4 linked regions of the Schizosaccharomyces pombe genome follow. Changing the gene in region 1 together with any one later gene gives a genetic interaction. Each region holds a gene or a part of one and is shown in the gene's direction. Other genes may lie near its edges.

What was found.
Region 2: mutations in gst4 (region 1) and tom70 together harm fitness more than expected from each alone (negative genetic interaction), as found in Schizosaccharomyces pombe (one large-scale study listed by BioGRID).
Region 3: mutations in gst4 (region 1) and btn1 together harm fitness less than expected from each alone (positive genetic interaction), as found in Schizosaccharomyces pombe (one large-scale study listed by BioGRID).
Region 4: mutations in gst4 (region 1) and slx4 together harm fitness less than expected from each alone (positive genetic interaction), as found in Schizosaccharomyces pombe (one large-scale study listed by BioGRID).

What each region holds. Positions count from the first base shown.
Region 1 is NC_003421.2:1,396,121-1,401,522, reverse strand, and holds gst4 (putative glutathione S-transferase), read left to right. Parts: upstream 1-2,774; 5' UTR 2,775-2,884; coding exon 2,885-3,898; 3' UTR 3,899-4,335; downstream 4,336-5,402. Other genes in the region: wtf element Wtf11, read right to left, coding at 1,047-1,079, 1,136-1,188, 1,227-1,457, 1,505-1,825, 1,988-2,144.
Region 2 is NC_003424.3:2,430,947-2,436,962, forward strand, and holds tom70 (TOM complex subunit Tom70), read left to right. Parts: upstream 1-2,433; 5' UTR 2,434-2,445; coding exon 2,446-4,323; 3' UTR 4,324-4,677; downstream 4,678-6,016. Other genes in the region: drc1 (DNA replication preinitiation complex assembly protein), read left to right, coding at 52-181, 238-870, 911-1,161; SPOM_SPAC6B12.13 (protein phosphatase inhibitor), read left to right, coding at 5,103-5,295, 5,521-5,642.
Region 3 is NC_003424.3:2,048,587-2,053,377, reverse strand, and holds btn1 (battenin CLN3 family protein), read left to right. Parts: upstream 1-1,629; 5' UTR 1,630-1,725; coding exon 1,726-2,916; downstream 2,917-4,791. Other genes in the region: protein Mil1, read left to right, coding at 3,218-4,791. UniProt on the Schizosaccharomyces pombe protein: Involved in vacuolar transport and vacuole pH homeostasis. Also required for cytokinesis.
Region 4 is NC_003424.3:3,115,705-3,121,873, reverse strand, and holds slx4 (structure-specific endonuclease subunit Slx4), read left to right. Parts: upstream 1-2,700; 5' UTR 2,701-2,873; coding exon 2,874-2,927; exon of another isoform or gene 2,928-3,011; coding exon 3,012-4,217; 3' UTR 4,218-4,994; downstream 4,995-6,169. Other genes in the region: protein Rng10, read left to right, coding at 1-2,495; glutathione S-transferase Gst3, read left to right, coding at 5,079-5,807. UniProt on the Schizosaccharomyces pombe protein: Regulatory subunit of the slx1-slx4 structure-specific endonuclease that resolves DNA secondary structures generated during DNA repair and recombination.

The sequences.
Region 1 (5,402 bases):
AGATCATTCTTTATTTAATAAAATACATGCGCGAATTAATTGCTATAATTGCGACAAACGAAACAGCGAATTCAAGAATATTCGCTCTGTAGTCCAATTCCAATCGCTTTAAAGACTTTTTAACAAAATAATAAAATCGTTCAAACAAATTTCCAACTAATTCCTTCAAACAATGGCATAAAAAAAGAAGAACGAGGCAGTGAATTACTTCTGACACATTTATTTTGTCACTGCCCTTTTTATTCACCCCAACTTAGCTTTCCTTAAACGTTTTTGAGAAGCAAAACGTTGTAGTATAATATAATGTCAGCTACGCAATTTGGTATCTGATTTAAGGATACGTAGTACTGCGGTGAGTTTTCCTTGTGATCTATCATATTACATTACACAGGTTATATGAGTAGCAACTGAGTATAGGTATTGTATTAATTAGGTTATAATGTTACCTATCACTAATATAGCTCATAACTGAACTGAGGAACGAGGTTCAGCAGTAGCTCTATTTATAGTATTCAGATAATATAGATCTTAATAGATTATCATTAAGATCAATCTCAATATCGTATCATGCATGGTACTATATATAATTAGAACATGTGACATATAGTGATACGCAACGTAGTGTATTATAGCGTAGTGTAGTATTGCTGACAGTCACAATGTTTTATTATGCTATTCATTATTTTGTAAACATTAAATTTGTTTGAATTAAAGCATATACAATAAGCGACATGTTTGGTTCATCAGAAAAACCAAAATGGAGGGAAAACCGTACATAGCAAAAGTATTAATGAAACAACTTTTGATCGAGGTTGTGAAGTAATGAATCTTATAATTTCATAAGTTGAGCTAACTGTTTCTGAAAACGGTTATTCTACGTGGTGATCATCATAAAGCTCTCGTATGCAAAAATATAATGAGTAGTTTAAACTAATCGTTAATACTTTCAAGCAATTTGCTAGTCAATGCCATTCGTATGACAGACAAAGTATGCAATAAAATCAAAGGTCGCAACTTGTTTAGTGATCTTATTCATAACGAGAATGCTACAATTCATCTGAATCTTCAAGAAAATACACCTATAAAGTTTTGTTAGTAAAACAACTCATCATAAAATGTCTCCCATGCAACATACCACCGCTTTCAATATCCTTGCGATCCAATCGACACTGCATGATCCTGGTTTTACTACATGGTTAGAATATAATAACAGGTATATAACGAACATGTTTCAAAAATGAAGATAAAGATGCTCATAGTAGCAAAGGAAACATGGGCAAAGAGAGATGTTTTCAACCCCCATTGCTCGCCAAAACTGTCTTTTAGACCTTTTCGCACGAAAAAGCCAATGATGTTGAATATAAGCACTTGAAGGAAAGCAAGAGGCGTGTTTTTCCACTTCTTAAAAATGTGCTTGATTCCATCTTTGCATGCCTTGGTCCAAAAATCATAGTAGCCTAATGAATTAGTTATTGAGTATAGTACAATTCCATGTCTCACTTACGCATTAAAATAAACAAAAGAGCAAGGCTAGCACAGAACCACGATAAACGTTGCATTACGTGTAAATCGTCCATAGAAACCATGTTATACTGTAGACAACCAAAGATAACAAGATCAAATATACAGACTATGGAAATAGATATCACAAAAACAAATAACAGAGGCACCTCATTACTATACACCTTATTAGATGAACAAGTTTTCCGACATTTAGGAGGAGAGTTGCTATTGTCATGGCCTACAGAGGTCGTGGATTCATTGTGATTGAACGTTTGCGCTTCAAGGTCCATCGTAGGATCAGGATTGATTAAATATGAAGAAGCTACGAATAGTTAATACAAATGAAAAAATTAGTTCATTGGGAAAGGAAGACGAACGTGCGTGCTATTCTAGAGTTGATTGCACATAACGTTCACTAACAGTTAGACAAGAAGTAAAACTTTCTTTACTATTGCATTTTTTTATGATAAACAATAAACCGTACCTGAATTTGAAGGCAAACCGCTCTCATTCTCCGAATTGTATTTTAGAGGTAAACCTTTTTCCAAGTCAATATCATTTCCTAAATCAACTCCATTTTCCGATTCCATTTTCTCTTCCACATCTACCGAACTTGTCAAGGGAACGTAATTGCTGTTCATTTTCAAGGAAAGGATAACTTGTAAGTTCAATTAGATTTATGCACAAATATACTTTAATTGCTAGATCAAGACAAAACAAAATAGAGAAATCTAAAAATCAACCTGTAACTGAATTCCACTAGTTTTCAACGACTTTTAACAAACCAAGCAAGTCGGTCAAATAAGTTTTTTCAAATAACGGCATTCATGAAAAAGGAAAAAGGAACAACACTCAATGAGGCATTGCATTTCTTTACTGACACCATCATTTTGTCACAATGATTTTTTTGTTTATTTCGCTGTGTGTAACGATCGATGGTCGATCATCCAAACGCTATATCGGGGTTTACTGCTAACTAAAGCAATCCGTAAACTGCTCGCTACGTAAAGTAATTTGTGTTGCTGTAAGGTTGTAAGGCAACTGAACGTCCAACATAGAGGGCGAGTGTGAATGCAAGTAACGAGCTAAAGCGATGCGAGGCATTACCATTCTAAAATCTTGCAACGTATTTCTTAAAGTACTTTGCCATTTTCATTTAACAACGTACACGGTATGCATCGCAATTCTTCAACATCCCAGCACCTTTTACTTCGTTAAACTTCCACTCTTTCTTCTAATTTATCTTCCACAATGAAATCAGTCTTACTAATAATGAATGGATGAATGGCCATGTGGATGGGGAACGATACAATCCCAACCATGGACCCCATGACACCATGCTTACTCATGTACTTGCCATTTGCCTCTGTATAAATTCGGCATGGATTTGCTTTGCAGAAAATTTTCACGTTTGACGAATCGAGTGGTACAGCAACGTTTTTTCATCAGAACCATGTCCAACACTCATATTACCGATTGGAGCTCAAAGGATGGCGAATTTCGAAGACAAGTATCTTCCTTTCGAGAGAGAATCTCACCTGAGCACAAGTATTTCCAGCCAGAAAAGGACCGTTATCATCTTTACGTGAGTTATGCATGTCCTTGGGCTCATCGAACACTGATTGTACGAAAACTCAAGGGTCTAGAAAATGTGATCCCTGTGCATGTGGTAGGCTGGCTTATGGGACCGAACGGGTGGAACTTTGATAAGGAGAACGATAGTACAGGGGATCCCTTGTACAACAGTCCGTACCTTCGCAATCTATACTTTCGCGCCGATCCCAATTACAATATGCGGTTTACAGTGCCGGTGCTGTGGGATTCCAAGTACAACACGATAGTGAACAACGAGAGTGCAGAAATCATCCGTATGTTTAATGATGCCTTTAACGAGGTAATTGAGGATGAGGAGAAGCGGGTGGTCGATTTGTATCCATCGTCGCTGAGGACGAAGATTGACGAGTTGAACGACTATTTCTACGATACCGTCAATAACGGCGTCTACAAGACGGGGTTTGCCACGACGGCAGAGGCGTACGAGAAGAACGTGCGCGTTGTGTTTCAAGGGCTCGATCGACTGGAGCAGGTTTTGAAGGAAAGCAAAGGACCGTTTCTTCTTGGAGATCATTTGACAGAGACGGATGTGCGATTGTATACGACGATTGTACGCTTTGACCCGGTATATGTACAACACTTTAAATGCAACATTGGTACCATTCGTCACAACTATCCTCATATCAATCAATGGTTGAAAAGACTATACTGGAAGCATCCGGCGTTTCATGAAACTACAGATTTTAAACACATCAAATGTCATTACACCCAAAGTCACACCCAAATCAATCCATTAGGCATTACTCCTCTTGGACCCATTCCCAATGTCGAATATTTTTGAGTTTATTTTTTTTGAAGAAATTCCAACAAGTTGGAATTTGGGTTGAACGATTGGTTATGGGGTTGAAAATTCCAATTCAACGAGTTGGATTGGAATTTTTGTTTTGTTTTGTTTGGATGCGTGCTTTTTGTGTGCAATACCAATGTCTCTGCGGGTTTTTCGTTTACGAAACGTTAAACTAGTTAAGCTTCAACCGACCGAATTGTTTGAAAAGAGAGAAGAAGATGCTTAAAAAGTACCGAGTGATATTTCCGCTAAACAAGTACAATGGGAGGTTGACGAGAAGAATGTAAAATGCGAGTGTGGTGCGAGTGCGAGTGTGAGTGCGAAAGCGAATGCAAATGCAAATGCAGATGCGACATAGAAAAGAACGTAAAAAGTAAACACACAGCAATTACAAAGGAAATGAAAAGTAAATAAAATAGGTAAAATAAAGCTAATGCTAATGCTATTCCAAACAGTGCAAGACAGTATCGTATTGGATTTGTATTGAGAAAGGAATTGTAAAGAAACAGTAAAAGAGAGTTGTTTTCAAAACAAGTTCAAGTTGGATTTGACATATCCCTTAACGAAACCGAAATGGAAACCGAAAACCAACCGAACCCCAAACCGAACCCCAAACCGAAACCGAAACCGAAACCAAAATCCAATCCCTATCCCAATCCAATCCAATCCAATCTCTACCCCGTTTTAACGAGTTGCAATTTCCACCTAAAAAAGATTTTCCGCGTAAAAGAAAAAAAAAGTGGGAAATTCTATAAATAGTACACCTTTTGACCGCTTCCTTACGTCTCCTTAAGCCTGAAGTTCTCGTCCATCCGCTGATCGTGCTTTTGTCCACAAAATGCCCCGCCGTTATCAATGAGTCTGTGATTGGCTACAAGAACTTGTCCTGTCAGGTTCCCACGGCAAGCCTCCCAACCACCGAAGGGGTGTGGCAATTGTTCCCCTCGTTTGGGATCTGTGTGGACGGGGATTGGTGGAGGGCTACTTTAGTGCAGAATCTTAAAACTCCACCAAAGTACACAAAAGCTCGTTAAGATAAGGAGGAGGTCCAATGAAGCGTTAAGGAAAGCGAGGCGAGAGTCAAAGTCAGGTGGACAGGGGAAGAGGAGAGAGAAACAAACGAAAAGAGGATTTTGAAGAAACCAAGTGAAAAGAAAATGAAAAAGAAATGGAATGAAAGAAAAGAAAAAGAAATGAATATGGAAATATCGTTGATTGTTTGGAATGGATTGTTGTTAATTTTAGTAATGTTGATTTTTAATAATGTTAATTTTAGTATGCTTGATTGTCGAGTATTTACTGGCTTGGCTTTAAATTGTGTTGTCGATATTGTTGATATGATCGATTGATTGTTGTAATGTAATCAATATTGAAAATCCATTTTTAACTCTCTCTACAAATGCTCACCCTGGCTCATCTATGCTTGCTTTTTTACTGACACTTGCCTCTTTCTCACTTGTCCTAGTCGTTTACGTAGTAGACTTTTAGATTTCGTGGT
Region 2 (6,016 bases), on another chromosome or scaffold:
GAACACTACAAAATTGAAATTGGGTCCAGGCAGTGCATTAATTGGCAAATCATGCACGATGAATCACGAACTAAACAAATATCTAGTATAAAAGCGCTCTTAAAGAAGTGGGAACATGAGTACGTCCATACGAACAATTGCAAACCTTCTAAGGAGGATGTGAAGAAACAACCAGAAATAGGTATGTAAGCCAAAGATACACTTGAATTTTTGAAGCAAACTAACGAACTTTTTTAGCGCTTTTATATAAGCAATACTACGAGTTGAAACGCGAATCCTCCATTACCCCTAAAAAAGCAAAAACAAAGGTCGACTTTAAGTTTCAAACTCCTACAAAACAGCGTGCTGAAACTGAAGCGAACGAGAGTCCTAAAGCGCCCCGAAATGATTATCTACAGGTTACTCCGAAAACTGTGGATAAAAGTCTTTTAGGTCCTACTCCACAGTTGTCACGTCGAGTACTTAACCTTCTTGAAGACATGTCTCCCATTGCAGATTCTCATGTGGATCAAATTTCGGATATAAAACATAACACTAGTGAAATTTCATCAACTATGATACCGACTACTCCATCAAAAAATCCCGAACCTGTGGCTCAACATACTCCCACCGTTCTTGAAACCCCCTCTTCATATCGCCTTCAAGTTTATACATCTCCTAACTTACTTCGAGTTAATGCGCCATGCCGAAAAAGTCTCAGTGAAATGCTTCGTGAGTTAAAAGATATTGAAGATGATTACGGATCAAATGAAGAGAAGATATTGCAGGAGTTTGAAAGCTTTAGTAGCTCATCTTCAGAAAGCCTTGTAGATAGAGACATATCACAACCTATGAAGAAAAAAATTAAACGACAAAATCGTCTTGTTAAATGTAAGGTTTTCTCCTGTTTGTACCTGAACTAACGTTTTAGTGCCCCCTTCAATGAATCTTTCCAAAAGTCATTTAGAAGGTCTTCCTGAAATAGACGAAGATGCGGAAAATGGCATTGACGACAATGAAGATACAACTGCTAGCAAAGATTCGTCACCATTTTTAGATCTGCAGAGTGAACGACAAAATAAAAAGATTATGAGAAACGGGCTTGTTATTGGAAAACAAGTAAGCCAGAATTATTCCTCTTACAAATTAAAAAAACGTAAATTTCGGCGTCACAGAAGCTAACATATAATTTGTCAATCGGAACTTTGCTGTTGTATTTAAAAAAACACATACTTTCTGATCTTCCTTAATAGGATATACACTTTTTCAATGAATGTTAAAGAGGTATATATATTTAATAAATCATGCATTCAATAAAACCTGGAAATAGATTTTGTGGGTTTTTGAGATTTAAATGAAATAATACATCATGAGTTTGTGGTATCCTGTTAAAAAAATTTTGGAAATATAAAAGTTTGAATGAATCATATATTTCTTGTTCTTAATCTTCGGGTAAAATCAAATTAGTTACTATCGAACGATAAACGTTTTATATTTTTACGTAGGCATTCGTCCAACATTAAATCTAAGACTGGAACGTTTTGATATACGAATATCATGAGGACGTAAGGAAAGAAGAAGTACAAAAAAAATCGAACCTTCAATATTGAAGCTGGCGAGAAAGACAAATAAAAAAACAGCTTCAAATAAGTTTGGATCTATTGAAATGAGGAATACATGAAAGCTGAATATCATCATTACTTTACATGGATTTGCATAGCTTATTCATCCTTAGGGGACAGCGATGCCAAATTTCCTCTTAACTAAATTTTTAGACAACCTAAACACCATACGTTGATGCTAAACTTCAAAACATGAATAGTCATTTCCAAATGTCATTTACAACTTAAGAAACCATGCTTTAAATAATAGATAGCTTATAAGATACAGGCAACAACTGTAATAGATTTTGGTCGCAACTCTTCAATTGTATTCAAAACATAGTTCAACCTACAATCAAGTTAACAAATCTTTTTAAAGACAAATAAAAGGGCTCTAGATAATCAGAATCCAAAAGAAGTGCATTGTGTAATTAACAAATACAGTCAATACGTTTCATTGTTTAAGGTAAACTTCTTTACTACGCTCTCTATATATTGTATTTTATACGGGGATAACATCAGCTCTTGTAGCTCAGTGGTAGAGCGCTTGCCTAGTAAGCAAGAGGCCCAGTGTTCAAGTCACTGCTGGAGCAGTTTTTTTTAAATTCCTACTTGATGCGGAATTGAGTAGAATTAATAAAACTAGCACCTGTGCAAATTATCACCATTTCATAATAATAGCTCCTATTAAACTGCTGTTCACCGTTTCTTTTTTTGTTTTCTATCACTTCGTAATCAAGTTTTAGTTCCTTAACCTTTGTCAATGAATGTGCTTTGCAGTTCGTTAGCAATGCAATAAGGTAGCATTCACTTTGCTGAAGTATAGTGGTCATGAATCGGTACCAACCTAGCCAAAACCAATACCATGTCTGGTATATCCAATGCAGAAAATGGTAAGGCAATTGTGTCTTCTGGAGTTTTAAATTCCGTTTCAGCATTTGTAAGGCGCCATAGGACATTTGTTTACACTATTGGTGCTGTTGCCGTTTTTGCTACAGTTGGGGGTGTTTATCATGTACAACAGAAAAAAGCTAGTCATAAACGTTCTAAAAAACTTAAGGCTCATCAAGATAAGGCTGAATCCAAAGTTAATGAAGGAAAAAATGAAGCTGCAAAGGTCGTAAAAGAAGAGGATCTTAAAAGCTCAGAAACTGGAAAGGATGTTGAAACAGCAGCCGCTGCTGCTGCTGCTGCAAAAAAGAAGAAGAAGAATAAAAAAAAGGTTAAAGCCAAGAAGGTCGGCGATTCTTCTGTCGATAAAATTGCTACTGAGGAATCGGTAAAATCTATGACGAAGGAGGAAAGGGCAAAATTGGCTGCCGAGTTAAAGACTCTTGGTAATAAGGCTTATGGACAAAAGGAATATGCTAATGCTATTGACTATTATACTCAGGCTATCACCTGCTCTCATGACCCTATTTTCTTCTCTAATCGTGCAGCCTGTTATGCAGCCATCGGTGATTTTGAGCAAGTAATTAAGGATACAAGTGAAGCTCTTTCACTTGATTCAAGCTATGTGAAAGCGTTAAATCGTCGTTCTGCTGCTTATGAGCAACTTGGTAAATTGGATGAAGCCCTTATGGATAGTACCGTTTCCTGCATTTTCGATGGCTTCGCTAATGAGAGTATGACTGCTACCGTTGAACGATTGTTAAAAAAGGTTGCTGAAAAGAAGTCGTCTGCTCTTTTAAAGGAACGTCCTCCTAAATTGCCAGCTGCCAGCTTTATCCAGACTTATCTCGATTCATTCCATGCTCAACCAAAACCTTTGTTTGATAATAAATTTGACGGTGATGCTGCTTTAGCAGAGGCTTATGAATATTTAGAAAAGGGTGAATATCAACTTTCGTACGATAAAGCAAAGGAATCCTGTCTGGGATCTTTCTCATCTCCTTCGGTTAATGCTCGCACTCATAATCTAGTTGGTACTTTTAAATTTGTATCTGGTGACTCTAAAGGTTCGATGGAAAATTTTAATGCAGCTATTAAATTAGATCGCAAGTTCATTCAACCATATATTCGTCTCTCAGCCGCTTATTTAGATGAAAATGATAATGAAAAAATGTGGAAGGTACTGAATGATGCAGAATCTGTTGATAAAACCGATTCGGATCTTTATTATCATCGTGCACAAGTTAGGTTTGTTTCTGGTGAGTTTGCAGAAGCCATTTCTGATTATCAAAAGTCTATTGCATTGGATGACTCTTTTATTTATAGCCATATCCAACTTGGAGTAGCTCAATATAAGACTCATGCAATTGCGGAATCAATGAAGACATTTGAAGATTGTAAAAAGAGGTTCCCTAATTCAAGCGAAGTTTATAATTACTTTGGTGAAATACTCTTAGATCAACAAAAGTTCGATGATGCTGTCAAGAACTTTGATCATGCAATTGAGCTTGAGAAGAGAGAACATCTAACAATTATGAGTGCAATGCCTTTGATTAATAAGGCTCTTGCTGTATTCCAATGGAAGAAAGATATATCTCAAGCTGAAAATCTTTGTCGACAGGCTCTATCGGCTGATCCCGAATGTGATATTGCAATTGCCAGTATGGCTCAATTCCTATTGCAACAAGGTAAAGCTCGTGAAGCCCTTGAATATTTCGAGAAATCTGCACAACTGGCTCGTACTGAAAGTGAAATGGTGAATGCGTTTTCATATGCTGAGGCTACTCGTACGCAAATTGCCTTGACTGAAAAGTACCCACAGTTGGTTGGTCGTTTAAGCAATCCTATGTAAACGAGATTGTATATGAGAATTACTGTTAGTCAAAATAAGCAGTTGGCGAAAACATTTTGAATGCTTTAAAAAGGTTCCAATTTTAATGTGGCTCGGAAATTTTTTGTTTGGATGACAGCAAGTGCTGAAAATCCTTAAACCAAACGAAGTTTTGTATACGGAACATGTTTGCTAATGTATTCTGGTTGACGGATTTTTGATTTTAACTTGATTCTTAGGGTTAGCAATAATGATATTTTGTTCGCTACTCCCTAAAATGTGAACTTATTATTTCTTTGTACTTCATGTTTAGTAGGTAGTGTATTTATTAACGACAGCAATAGCAATGAAATATTATACCCATTGAGATTCAACCATTACAGAATGTTATCATAATTTAGGACTCTAATTTAATATAAAATGGTAGGTGTCTATTAATTCTCTTTACCAAATAAGTTGAAATAGGCAGCTGAAGGTTTTTAGGAAAACAATATTTGGTTTCGTCATCAAGGGAGATGTAACCTAAGGGAGATATAACGCAGTAACGATTTCTCACAATCTTATATAGTGAAGAAAAAGGAATAGAAGAATATCCTATTAGAGAATAGCAAGCATCTTGAAGTGCACACCACTCTTCGCCATCGTCTTTCAAACAACAGAGGAATTTTATAATAATTACACTAAAATTGTTTTTCTTGAAGCAATTGCTTGAGAGGAAGAGTTGGTTAACGAAACTGAAGGTTCACTTATAAAACAGTGAACTTCGTGTTTTATCACTCAACGTAATCTTGACAATTCCCATGGAACTCACAAGACCGTTAGGTGATATCTCCTCATCAGCTACAGTTACCATTGAAAGTACGGAGGAATCCGCGTCAATAAGCCATGAAGAATCTGAGAATGTGCTCCATTTACAACCGGAACCAGTCAGAAGAGTTAGATGGACGGTAAGCACTGTAGATAATGAGCATATGAATAAAAAGAAATCGAAAGGTAAGTGAAGTTCTGGTGATTTTACGAAGAAGAGAATAGGCCTTGTTCCATCCTTTGGCAACAAGCACAACTTTCAGACTTATATTGATTTTAAAAATTGGACAGTATGAGTCTATTTATACATATCTACATTCTTTATCTTTGATTTATCAAAGCACTAGAGGCTTGATACACGAACATAGAAAATTAAAGGATTTAACATGATGTGATGCTAAATATTACTAGTGTGCTGTATCTTTCACAAACAGAGAAAGTTTGATGAAAGTTCATCCGATTCAGATAGTGATTCGGACTCGGATTCCTCTTGTTCCTCATGTTGCAGTCGCAATGCATATGAACGCGCTTAGGTTGTTCGTTGAGTCCCCTATATTGAAAATGAGATATAAGTCATATGTCTTAAGTATTTTTCTTAATATGCCAAAAACCCAATTCCAACATTACTTTTGAAACTTAAAATACGTTTTGAAAAGGAATCTCGATGGCTTTAGCAGTCATACCTTTGTAAAGGTTTTGAAAAATCCCACAATAAATGATAGCAGCTTTTATGCTTTTCAACGTTAGCCAGATACTCATCTTTTTCTTTTTAATGAACTTTACATCAAATGTATGAAAAGTGTCAAAGAAAAGTGCGGGACTTTTGATAAAAAAGAGACTGTTTGATATACTCGTAGATTCTGAAATAAATTATAATGCAAAACAGACATAGGTGCTTTTTTTAATT
Region 3 (4,791 bases), on another chromosome or scaffold:
CTGAGCAAAAAAAATAGGAGTCAAAGGCTTTACCAAAAGCTTGATGCGAGTGTTAACTCATTGAAGCGCACATCGTCCATCTTTTTTACTTGATGATCTACACATGATCATCTCTAACAATGAGGGAAGTTTTGCATTCAGATTATATGAGTTGTTTATACAAGTCGCATATGAACATTCTGAAACGAGGGTACGGAAATGATGGAATATACTTTAATAGTTTAAAGAGAGTTAAAATGAGTGCATCATCATATCTGGTATGCATTTTCGATTACAGGGAGAGGGTGGTACTGTAAAATTACCATTTTACAGCACGAAAACTCCTTTTGTTTATCAGTAGATTAAAAGGATACTCTCATTAGTAAGTTTAGTGGATTAAATAGTATTAACAGCATGTGCTTAAAAAATGTTGAAACATGTCGATGGCACTGTGATCGCATAATAATTCATTATGCTCATTGAAGTTAATATAAAACCAAAGGAAATCTAAGAGATTATAAGTCTCTTAGCTTTACTTAAAAGAGATTCTAAAATTCAAACTCTAAAGTGCGTCTGCAAACAGCTGTTTGCTGTAGCTGCTGGATTTATGAACCATGGTGAGGTGCGATTTGTAAACTAGAGAATGATAGCGAAACGCTCGTTAAAACGCCAATATCGCACTTTCTATGGACAGTATTATAAATTTGTAGTACAGCATCAAGCATAATATAATTCCCAGTAACTAACATAATGATCCCATTACTGTTAAATGTAATGTGTTATGGGTCAAAGCAAACAAGGCAAATTTGATAATGAACGAGATGATTTTTCGGTTCGGTTTCCAATTCGTTATTATAAACAGTCGTAACGGAGCGTCAAACCTTCATTTAGTAAAAAAAAAAAAAAAAAATTGACTAAGCAATACGAAATATCTATAGTAGATACATGCGTATTACTATTTTATATTATTGTTGAGCAAAGTGATAATGCAATAACGATGTTAACCGTAGTTCGGTAAAGACACATTCATACGATATTATATTCAATTTGTTTTGATTTACGATTTAGAGTTTTTAAACATAAGCAAACGAAGATCGGAATTAAACCAAAATAAATCTCGTGCCAAAAACAATAACTTCATAAGTAGAAGCTGTAGACACGTGAATAGAATATTTAAAGATGTTGTAATTGTTTTCCTGGGAGATTTCAAGAAGTGCTAACCGAAGCATGAGTAAACTAGGAGCTTTTCGATCACAGCAAGCAAGGCATGTCAGTTACTAGTCGTTGAAATTTTAGTAGGGTAAGCTTTAGCTTGATAGCGGTTGCTTGGAAAAAACAGTGTAACATTCAAAATCGGTTTCTTTTGAACCTGACAACATTACCGTAATAATTCAATCGCTCAATACGCCATTCGTGAAGGGTAGTAGCCTTTCTCTTACGAAGTTACTAAAAACTCAATTTTTTTTGTACCCTTAAGCGCTTACGAGTTCTTTTCTTCAACTTATTGCTACTCGAATAATAAATGTTAAACATATCTCGACTTGCTTTTCAGTTCGTTGATCCTCGCTATTTACAGTTTGTAACAAGTTAACTCGTCTATGAAGTCATCGATAGAAGGGCTTTAAAGTGTGCTATTTGCGAAACAACAGCAAATTTGTAGACTAGCACTTTACAAAAGTCTACTATCGTATTGCCGGTTCAAACTAAAATTTATGACCTCAGTTTCTACTAAATATAGTACGAATCATGATTAAATTGAGGTTAACAAAAGATGCGAAAGTAGGGTGTTGCTTCCTAATTTTTGGATTGTTAAACAACCTTCTCTACGTGATAATTTTATCCGCTGCCTTAGATTTGGTTGGCGCAAACGTTTCTAAGGGTGTGGTACTACTTTCTAATATTGTTCCTTCTTTGGCGTGCAAGTTGTCAGCATCAATTCTTCATGTTCATAAATTTAAGTTTGCAAAGAGAATCGGTTTTTGTGTTTTCATGTCCATATTAGGAATGCAATGGATTGCTTGGTCTTCCTCCGTCCCTTCGAAAATGCTTGGTGTATCTCTGGCAGCCATTTCATCGAGTTTTGGCGAAATCTCTTTCTTGCATCTATCAAGTCGTTATCACTCTGTGTCTTTACCGTGCTGGAGTTCCGGAACAGGCTTGGCCGGTCTCTTTGGTGCATCTTCCTATTTGGTTATGACTACATGGTTTAACTTCTCGGTACGCAGCACACTTATTATCTCTAGCTTTCTGCCGCTTTTCCTTTTGATCATGTACTTTTTTGTGTTGCCAGAGTCTGAATCTACATCACCTTCAATTAACAACAATTATACGCCAATTGAATCTATTGATCTTCGAGCAGGGCACGTTTCATTCAATTTCGTTAATTCTTTGAAGCAAACATTCATATTCATGCAACCATACCTTCTTAGTCATATGTTTCCGCAGTTCCTTGTATACTTCTCAGAATATACTATCAATATTGGTGTAGCTCCCACTCTTTTATTCCCGCCCGAAAAAGCTGGCTTTTCTTCGTTTAGGGATTTTTATCCTACTTACCAAACTGTTTACCAGATTGGTGTTTTCCTATCGCGATCCTCCATTTCATTTTTTACTGTCCCATATTTGCGCACATTGGCAATAACACAGTTCATTATCCTTCTATTTACTATACTACAGTCGGCCCTATATCTTACTTCCAGCTATCATTTTGTACTATTCCTCATATTCGTTGAGGGTCTTATTGGTGGTACCGTTTATGTGAACGTGTATCATAGTTTGCAGACTACGGAGAGTAGTCAGCGTGAACTAGCTATTAGTACTGTTGGCTCTTCAGATAGCTCTGGAATTTTTTTAGCTTCATTGGTATCACTATTCCTTGAACCCTCCTTGTGCCATTTCCAAGCTGATCGTGGCCGAGATTGGTGTGCCTTAACTTGAAATAGTGAGTGCGCACATCTCCATTATATTGAGAGTTAACCTATGACGTTTCTTCCATTAGTGTGCTAAGTGCTTCAATATCAAGTTTGCTTTACGACCATTTTCTTTCAACTATTGTTTACTTTTTTAGTTCTTAATAGGTTTGCTTTGAAAGAAGAAGTTTTTCATTCCTAATTCCTGATACCAGAAGTTCTTAAACTTTTGGTGCACAATTACTTTCTGCTGTGCATTCTATGCGAATCATATCAAAACATACATTACTTAATTTTTTCCTTTTCATATCTTCCTTCTTTTAGATAATATGGCAGAACAGAAAATCATATCCTTATTTGACGATGATGCTTGTACTCGTTATACAATTTTAATTGCTAGTACAATTGGTGAAATGCGAGAGAAGAAAGAGTCAATAATCGATAACACGGATCCTGAAATAGTAAAATATCTTTCTCAATTATTGGACGTCTTTAGAGAAAACTTCGACACTTGGGCAATGGCAGTTGTAAATCGCACAGGTTGCGCACTGGATCCCTCTACTCCAAAGGATCAAGTAGAAGTAAAAAAATTTCGGCAGTTTTCCGAAACAGAGAAAAGCGAGTGCTTTATTAAATGTCTACTGTTATTGATTCTTTCATTGGGTAATTATTCTCCTTATTCCCGTAATTTATTATATAGTATTGCAGAGAAGTTGGGCTTGTCCTCTATCGTGGTTTATAAGGCTGAGCTTATCACCTCTTCTATGCTTTTAGATACTTTTCAAACTATGGAAAGCAATCAAGAAATGTATGAACTTTCGGGCACCCGAAAAATGAGAAGACGGATTGCAATGGGTCTCGCTGGACTGGCAGGTGGAGCTCTTATTGGGTTAACAGGTGGACTAGCTGCACCTTTTGTTGCAGCTGGGTTAGGGACGTTATTTGCTGGTCTAGGTTTGGGAACTATGATTGGAGCAACCTATCTTGGCACTTTGATTACTTCGGCACCAATGATCACTGCTCTGTTTGGAGGCTTTGGAGCCAAAATGAGTATGCAACAGATGGGGGATGTATCTAAGGGACTCACTGATTTTGAATTCATACCTCTCAGTGTGCAATCGCATTTACCGGTTACCATTGGAATCTCAGGATGGCTTGGGGATTATAACGAAGTAGACGCTGCTTGGAAATCTTTAACTGTTGGAGATAAAAGTTATTATTGGGGAGACATATATGCTTTGAAATTTGAAGTTGAAGCTTTAGTTGATCTTGGAAAATCTCTTTCCAGAATCTTATTTTCTGCTGGACTTGGCTGGGTAAAGGGAGAGGTTATTAGTAGAACGATATTAGCTCCTCTTGCTGCTGCTTTATGGCCTTTATCACTTTTGAAAGTCGGAAATATTTTAGGCAATTCCTGGAGAATTGCATTTAATTTATCCATCAAAGCCGGTGAAGCTTTAGCCAATGCGCTTTGTGTTAGAGCTCAGGGTATGCGTCCAGTGACTTTAATTGGGTTTTCGCTTGGTGCACGTACAATTCTTGAGTGTTTACTACATTTGGCTGACCGTGGTGAGACGAATCTAGTTGAAAATGTGATAGTAATGGGCGCCCCTATGCCGACTGACGCTAAGTTATGGCTTAAAATGAGATGCGTTGTCGCTGGGAGATTCGTAAATGTCTATTCTGCTTCTGATTATGTACTACAATTAGTGTATCGTGTCAACAGTGCGCAATCTACGGCTGCTGGTCTTGGACCAGTTTCTCTTGATTCAAATACTTTAGAAAATGTCGATGTGGGGGATCTTGTTGAAGGTCATTTGCAGTATAGATGGTTGGTTGCCAAAATTTTGAAAGAACGTCTTGGGTATGATAACATTTCTGATGCTGAGATTCAATCGCTTGC
Region 4 (6,169 bases), on another chromosome or scaffold:
AGGATCTTGCTATCCGTCCTTTAAGTTTCTCTAGGTATAAAAAGGCTGAAGAAATACCCGAGTCTTTACCTCCTATCAAGGGTAGAGATAGTTTTTCAAGTGTCAGAGAGCTCAATGAATCAAACGTATTTGCTCGTGCTCCAAATAAGAACCGATTCTCATTTGCTTCAGTTGCAGAGACTGGTAGTGGCTCCAATTTTTCCAGGGCTACCTCTTCCAGAAGTTCAAAAACTCGTAGCGTCGTATATGAACCTAATCATAGGCATACCAGCTTCTTTGGGGACACGCTTAGTAACCTATCTTCCTCGTTGAACGATAAGAAATCTCCTAATGACGATCATGCAGTACTAGATAGCGAATTAATGGAGCAAACTTTGCCGGACTCTGCCGAGGCGGTAGAAATTGCTAATAATGTGAAAGAAGATATTGTTTCTACCGCTAACGATGATGCCAATGAATTGGATAATACGAGTGAAAAAGCTACTTTGGAAACTAGTTCAAAGCCTGTTACGGAACAAGCAATTGAGCAATCTGAGGTTGTTCAAGAAGTCGAGGAGGGAGATACGAACATGACTACTAATACAATTTTGAAACCAACTGACGAAATTATTAATAAGGGTTATGCGTATTCTATAACAAGCTCACACTCGAATCATTCAAATGAGAAGTTTGAACAAATACCTAGTCCTGATGAAAAGCTTTCTCGAACAGATATTGACACTCATGTCAAGCAATTACAAACTACTAAGTCAACTGATAGCTTGTCTATTCCATTTGTTGAGTCTCCGCAGCAAAACCCAGAGGAAGAACTTTCGGACTCACTATCTAACGATTTTGGAATCGATGCTGAAAAGGAGAAGGATGAAAACCTCTCAAAACCGGAGCATCATCCATCTATAACTTCTGTAAATTCACCATTTCTTTATTCTCCTAGTAAGCAGCCCTCAGGTGAGTTGGATGAAGAAAATCTTAAACTACGATTACAAGATTCAGATGTGGATGATGAGGTAGCCACAATTCGTTCACTTAAACAAAATAATGCTACCAATTCGGAGGTTGAGACAGTTACGAACGATCCTTCTTTCTCCCAACAACCGGGTACTCATAGTCGTATTTTGCGAAATTTTGATGCTATCAGCTCTATCGATTCAATACCTGATAGCTTTTCTGACAGCGCTGTCGATTTGCCTGTCGATTCGTCAAAATATACCCTTGTTGGAAAAACTCAAAGTAATTCCAATCTACTTCAGGACAATGCTGAGAAACATATTTCAAAATCGAACCTTGAAAAAGTTGATGTGAAAGGAGATACATCACCCAATTCTGTCGAGCAAGGGATTGAACCTCAAGCTGCTTCTGTTGTTGGATCTCCACGCTCTTCTTTGGTTTCTAACAACTCCCTAGAGGAAGGAGCACTATTGAAAAACTCAGAAAGCTTGGAAAGTATCTATGGTTATCTTTCGGAGGAGCCCGATCCAGCTCTTACCAAGTTGAATACCGAAGACCCTTTTTGGACTAAGGGGTCATCTGACGATGAACATACAATAGCCTCTGTAGAACAAGACGTATATCCATATAAAACTAGTCTTCCAACTATTGTTGAAGCGACTACTTCTCACACTGAGTCAAGTAACTCAAAGGCTCCCGCAATTGAAGAAACGACAACTACAAAGGTCGAAGTGGTAGCTGCTCACGATGCAGTTTCAATATCCAGTAATTCCAGTACACATAAGTCTCACTCTGAACCATTAAATAGAGATGAGTTAGAAGTTGCTGCCTTAAGCCGTGGATCCTTGCCAGAACCTCCAAAACCCAACAAGCAAATAGTCGTTCAGGAAGAGGATCAACGAGACACACTATCTCTAAAGACAAGCACGACAGGTTTATCTTCTCATTCTAAAAGTGCTGAAAATAATTCAACTCAGCAGTCGACCACTTCTCCTAGCATTAACTCCGGTGCTTCAGCGGATGCTGTTTCTTCTGGAATTTCCAAAAAGGCTGATAATAGTGAAACTAATTTAAATTACTTTGCTACCTTAGATGCGTTTGTCAAGAGTCCATTGATGTCGTTCGATGGATTGGGTGAATTAGGTTCTACCGATCAACGTTACAACTTTTTCAATCAAAAGATTCAAGAATATTCAGCATACGATTCGGGCCTTGATAATTGGATTCAGTTTTGCTTAGAAAAAGATGGTGAGGCTCCAAAGGAAGCTCCTCCTCCTCCTCGTTCTGAGCCAGTTTCAACTACAACCAAACTTGCCAAAAGAATTACGCAGCCTTCGTTGAGTCCTGCAAGGTCAACTGTTACTATAACTCACAACATTGCTACTGAAGCAAAAAAGAAGTCTAAATCTGCTGCTAATGATATTTTACATTTGTTTAAGAAGAAAGCAAAAAGTGAACAATCAAACGCCAAGTCGTCATCTAGCTCTATCAAAGAATCCAAAAAGATGAAAACTCTTTTCGGAAAAAAATTGGGATTCAAATCATAAATCTTTTGCATACACTTTTTACCTAACTTTTTTCTCTCTTTTGTAATTTTCTAATTTATGTATTGTTTACGAAGCATTGCATTTCAATCAATAAGATTTTATCTAAATATTGTTTCATTTTCGTATTGCGCATTTTTGTGAAACCATTTAGTTATTTTTATCAGACGATGAGTTAAAATATCAAGCATATTCTGGTTTTGCTGCCACTTGTCTAAACCAAAATAAGAAACTGGACGAAAAACTTTCGACAAATTCAGGCTAGTACACAAAACAAAACAATCGAAATTAAATATTCATCATTTTTTGGGATATTCTTTCGTTTTCTTGGTGTTTTAGGATTCTGAGTACGCTGCTTTCAAGCTAAGTTTCATTAAATGGATGTCGGCTGAAGAATACATTGAGGTATCATCTTCTCCTGATATATTCACGGACGTATGAAAAAAATATGATATTCTATAGCAAATGATTAGAAATATTACATTGAACTGAAGTAAATGTATATTAACTGAGCTTTAGGATGATGACATGATAACAATAGAGCCAGAGCTAAACAAAAACCCTAAAGATTGTAATAGTAAACGAAAAAGATCTGTTACTGAATGTTGTGAAATTAGGCTGATAACTTCTAAATGTGATTTTGAGTCTACTCAACAGCTTGTGCATCACAATTGTACGGGACATAAGGTTCATGAGCACAACTTAAACGCTGTGGATGAAGAAGATTTTGATACTGAAAATCTCCCTCTTCTTTTTTCTTCCTTTAGCGACAATGAATCAGATATCTTAGAACCCGATCTTAACACTCGGGTAGCTGAAGATAATGATGTCCTTTTATCTAGATACAGCAAAATTAAAAATAGTGCTTCATGCAGAAATACTTTCGAGCACTCTGCATATCACTCAAATAGGGAAGAAATATCTTCTAGTGGTTTTTATTACCATAGGAAGCCTCAATTGTTCGAAAAATCTTTAGAGAAGTTAGGAAATAAATCAATTGAAGCCAACAGGAGTCCTCTTATAAAAGAACTTTGTGAATCGGCTAATTCTACTGAAAACGTTTGTTTTTCTGTTTCCACCGTTGATGAAATTCAGCAAAGGCATCCAAGCGCCGGTCATTCAATAGACTCAACTTGTCAGTCAAACTCGTTTCTTGAAGGCGATAGTGCTACACATAAGAAAAAAAAAACGGACAATATTAAAGAGTTTACTTCATGTGAATTTAATGACCGTAGCAGAACCCTGTTAAACTATGCCGGTTACATGGACACTAACAAAAACGCTGATAATGAAGCTAAATCATTAAAAGAAAAGTTGGAGAATTTTCCGGTTGAAAAATTACGTGCTATAGCGGAAAGTTATGGCTTCAAATCATCAGATTCGAAAGCAACTCTCATTAAGATAGTAGAATCTTGTTTGGATGCAATCGATAGCCGATCTCAGTCTAAAAAATTAGGCAAAGAAACTCCCCATGATTATTTGATAACTTCTACTAAAACAGTATTGGAGTTTGATGATATAGTGACACAGACTCATAGAGCAATTTCGCAAGTTGTTAAGCAAGCCAAAGACAATAGTGTGTGGATTAAAATTCTTACGTATTCTGCTATTGATGTGGAAGAATTTCAACTTTGGCTGAAGCGGAAAAATTTAAATGTTTCGCTAGATCTTATAAAGTCTTGGTGCGATAAGTATGGAGTACTCATGAAAGGGAGTTGGCATTAGCTAGCTAATCAGTGATTTTTGAGTGAAAATTGATGGTTTTTAAAGCAAAACAATATCATTTTTACAAAAAGATTTTGGATTTTTGAGCATCAAAATTAACAGCAAACAACCCAGCTTTAGATTTAAGTCAATTCAAGTCCTGTTTTAGATAAGAATCGTCCTTTGCAGCAGTGCTGAGGAAAAATCAAGATATCTTTTATGTGTTATAACGAGTAACATATATTATTGGAATCAAAAACTAATCATTATATCTTGCTTGGTCTTTGGAAACAGTTTGAACTGTTTGAGATAGCTTGTCTATGAACTATTTTGGAATATTCGGTATACAAATTTAGTACTATAACTTTTTTGTTAACACCACGTTTTACAAGGCAGTATACGTTGTTAACTATGAAAAAACCGTAACTCCAATTTATGTAAAATATGGCTTCTGTATTGTGATATTCAACCACTGAACTTCTTTTCATATGTCAGTCAGAATGCCAAGTAAATCCAACTGCTGCTCTTTTAGTATAAATGTACTGACTACAACAGTAAAATTGGTCTTTCATATAAATCTAGTACTGCACCTTTACAGCGGGCTCATGACGGACTAGTGATAGCAATTCAAATGAAGATGTTATTTCATTCCTATATCTACTGTATCTTTTTCTTAAGCAAACATAAAGTGTTTTGCGTATTTGTTGCATACGCCACTATATATTTCGGTGACTGACGTGCATATGAGGTGTAGACGCAGCAGCACCCATATATACATTCCAATTCCCACATACTTCCCTTCTTTGATCGAAATTATTGCATCTTAGAAAGTATTTATTTTGAGTATTCAATTTGATTTTGTTTTTATTTTTGTAACCAGATATGATTGTTTTACACCACTTAAAGAACTCTCGCTCTACTCGAATTGTATGGATGCTCGAAGAACTCAAAGTGCCTTATGAAATCAAAGTTTATGACCGTGTCGACGGACGTGCTCCCCCAGCGTATACTAAGTTGTCACCATTAGGCAAGAGTCCTATCGTTGTCGATGACGGTGTCACTTACATTGAAAGTGCAGCCATTTTGGAGCACCTGGTCAGAAAGTATGGACCGTCATTTAAACCCTCAGAAGAGGATGTTGCCGAATTGGAAAAATATGAATTATGGATGCACTTTTCTGAAGCATCTCTTATGCCATTTATTTGGGCAAGTCATGTTTTGGATCTTAGTGTGAACATGACTCCCATTTTCTTTCGTTATATTGTTCGCCAGTTTGTGAATGGGATAAAATCCAAGTATCTAAGTAAAGAAACATTTTTGAACCTTGACTACATTGATAATCACCTCGCATCGAACGAATACTTTGCAGGCGAACAGTTCACCGCTGCGGACCCGCAGATGTGCTTTCCTATATTTGCTGCTCAAAGAGATTACCTATCTCAGAAACCTTACAAAAATATTAAGCGTTGGATGCGGGTTGTCAGTGATAGGCCTGCATGTCGAATTGCTGCTGAAAAAGTTGAAGACAATACGTTGACTTTGTTTTCTGATGTGGAAAGGTACTCCCATCCCCCTACCCCTCCTCCCGAGCAAGTTCGCTCTGATGAATAAGATTTCTGCCGTGGCTCTTTTTTTCTTAAGCAAGTCGGCTTGAGACATACAAGGCTTCAGCAAGCTTACTTTTTTATTCTGCTTGTACGGAACTTATGCTGTTAATGTAGATAATGATTTGTACAATAACTAGGATATTGTGGTAACTACATAAAAATTTTTGCGACACCCCTTTTGAAATGATTTTCCGATGCAAGAAACAAGGCTTCGGTGCTTAAACGCTTGGACTTTTCTCTCTTTATCTGTCTCCCTCTCTATACATATATATATATATTATATACGCGTATACATCTAGTTTTGTGAATGGGAACATGTTACTGTTATTTAGTCTGAAAAAGAAGTTATGGTTACAAATCTTGTTT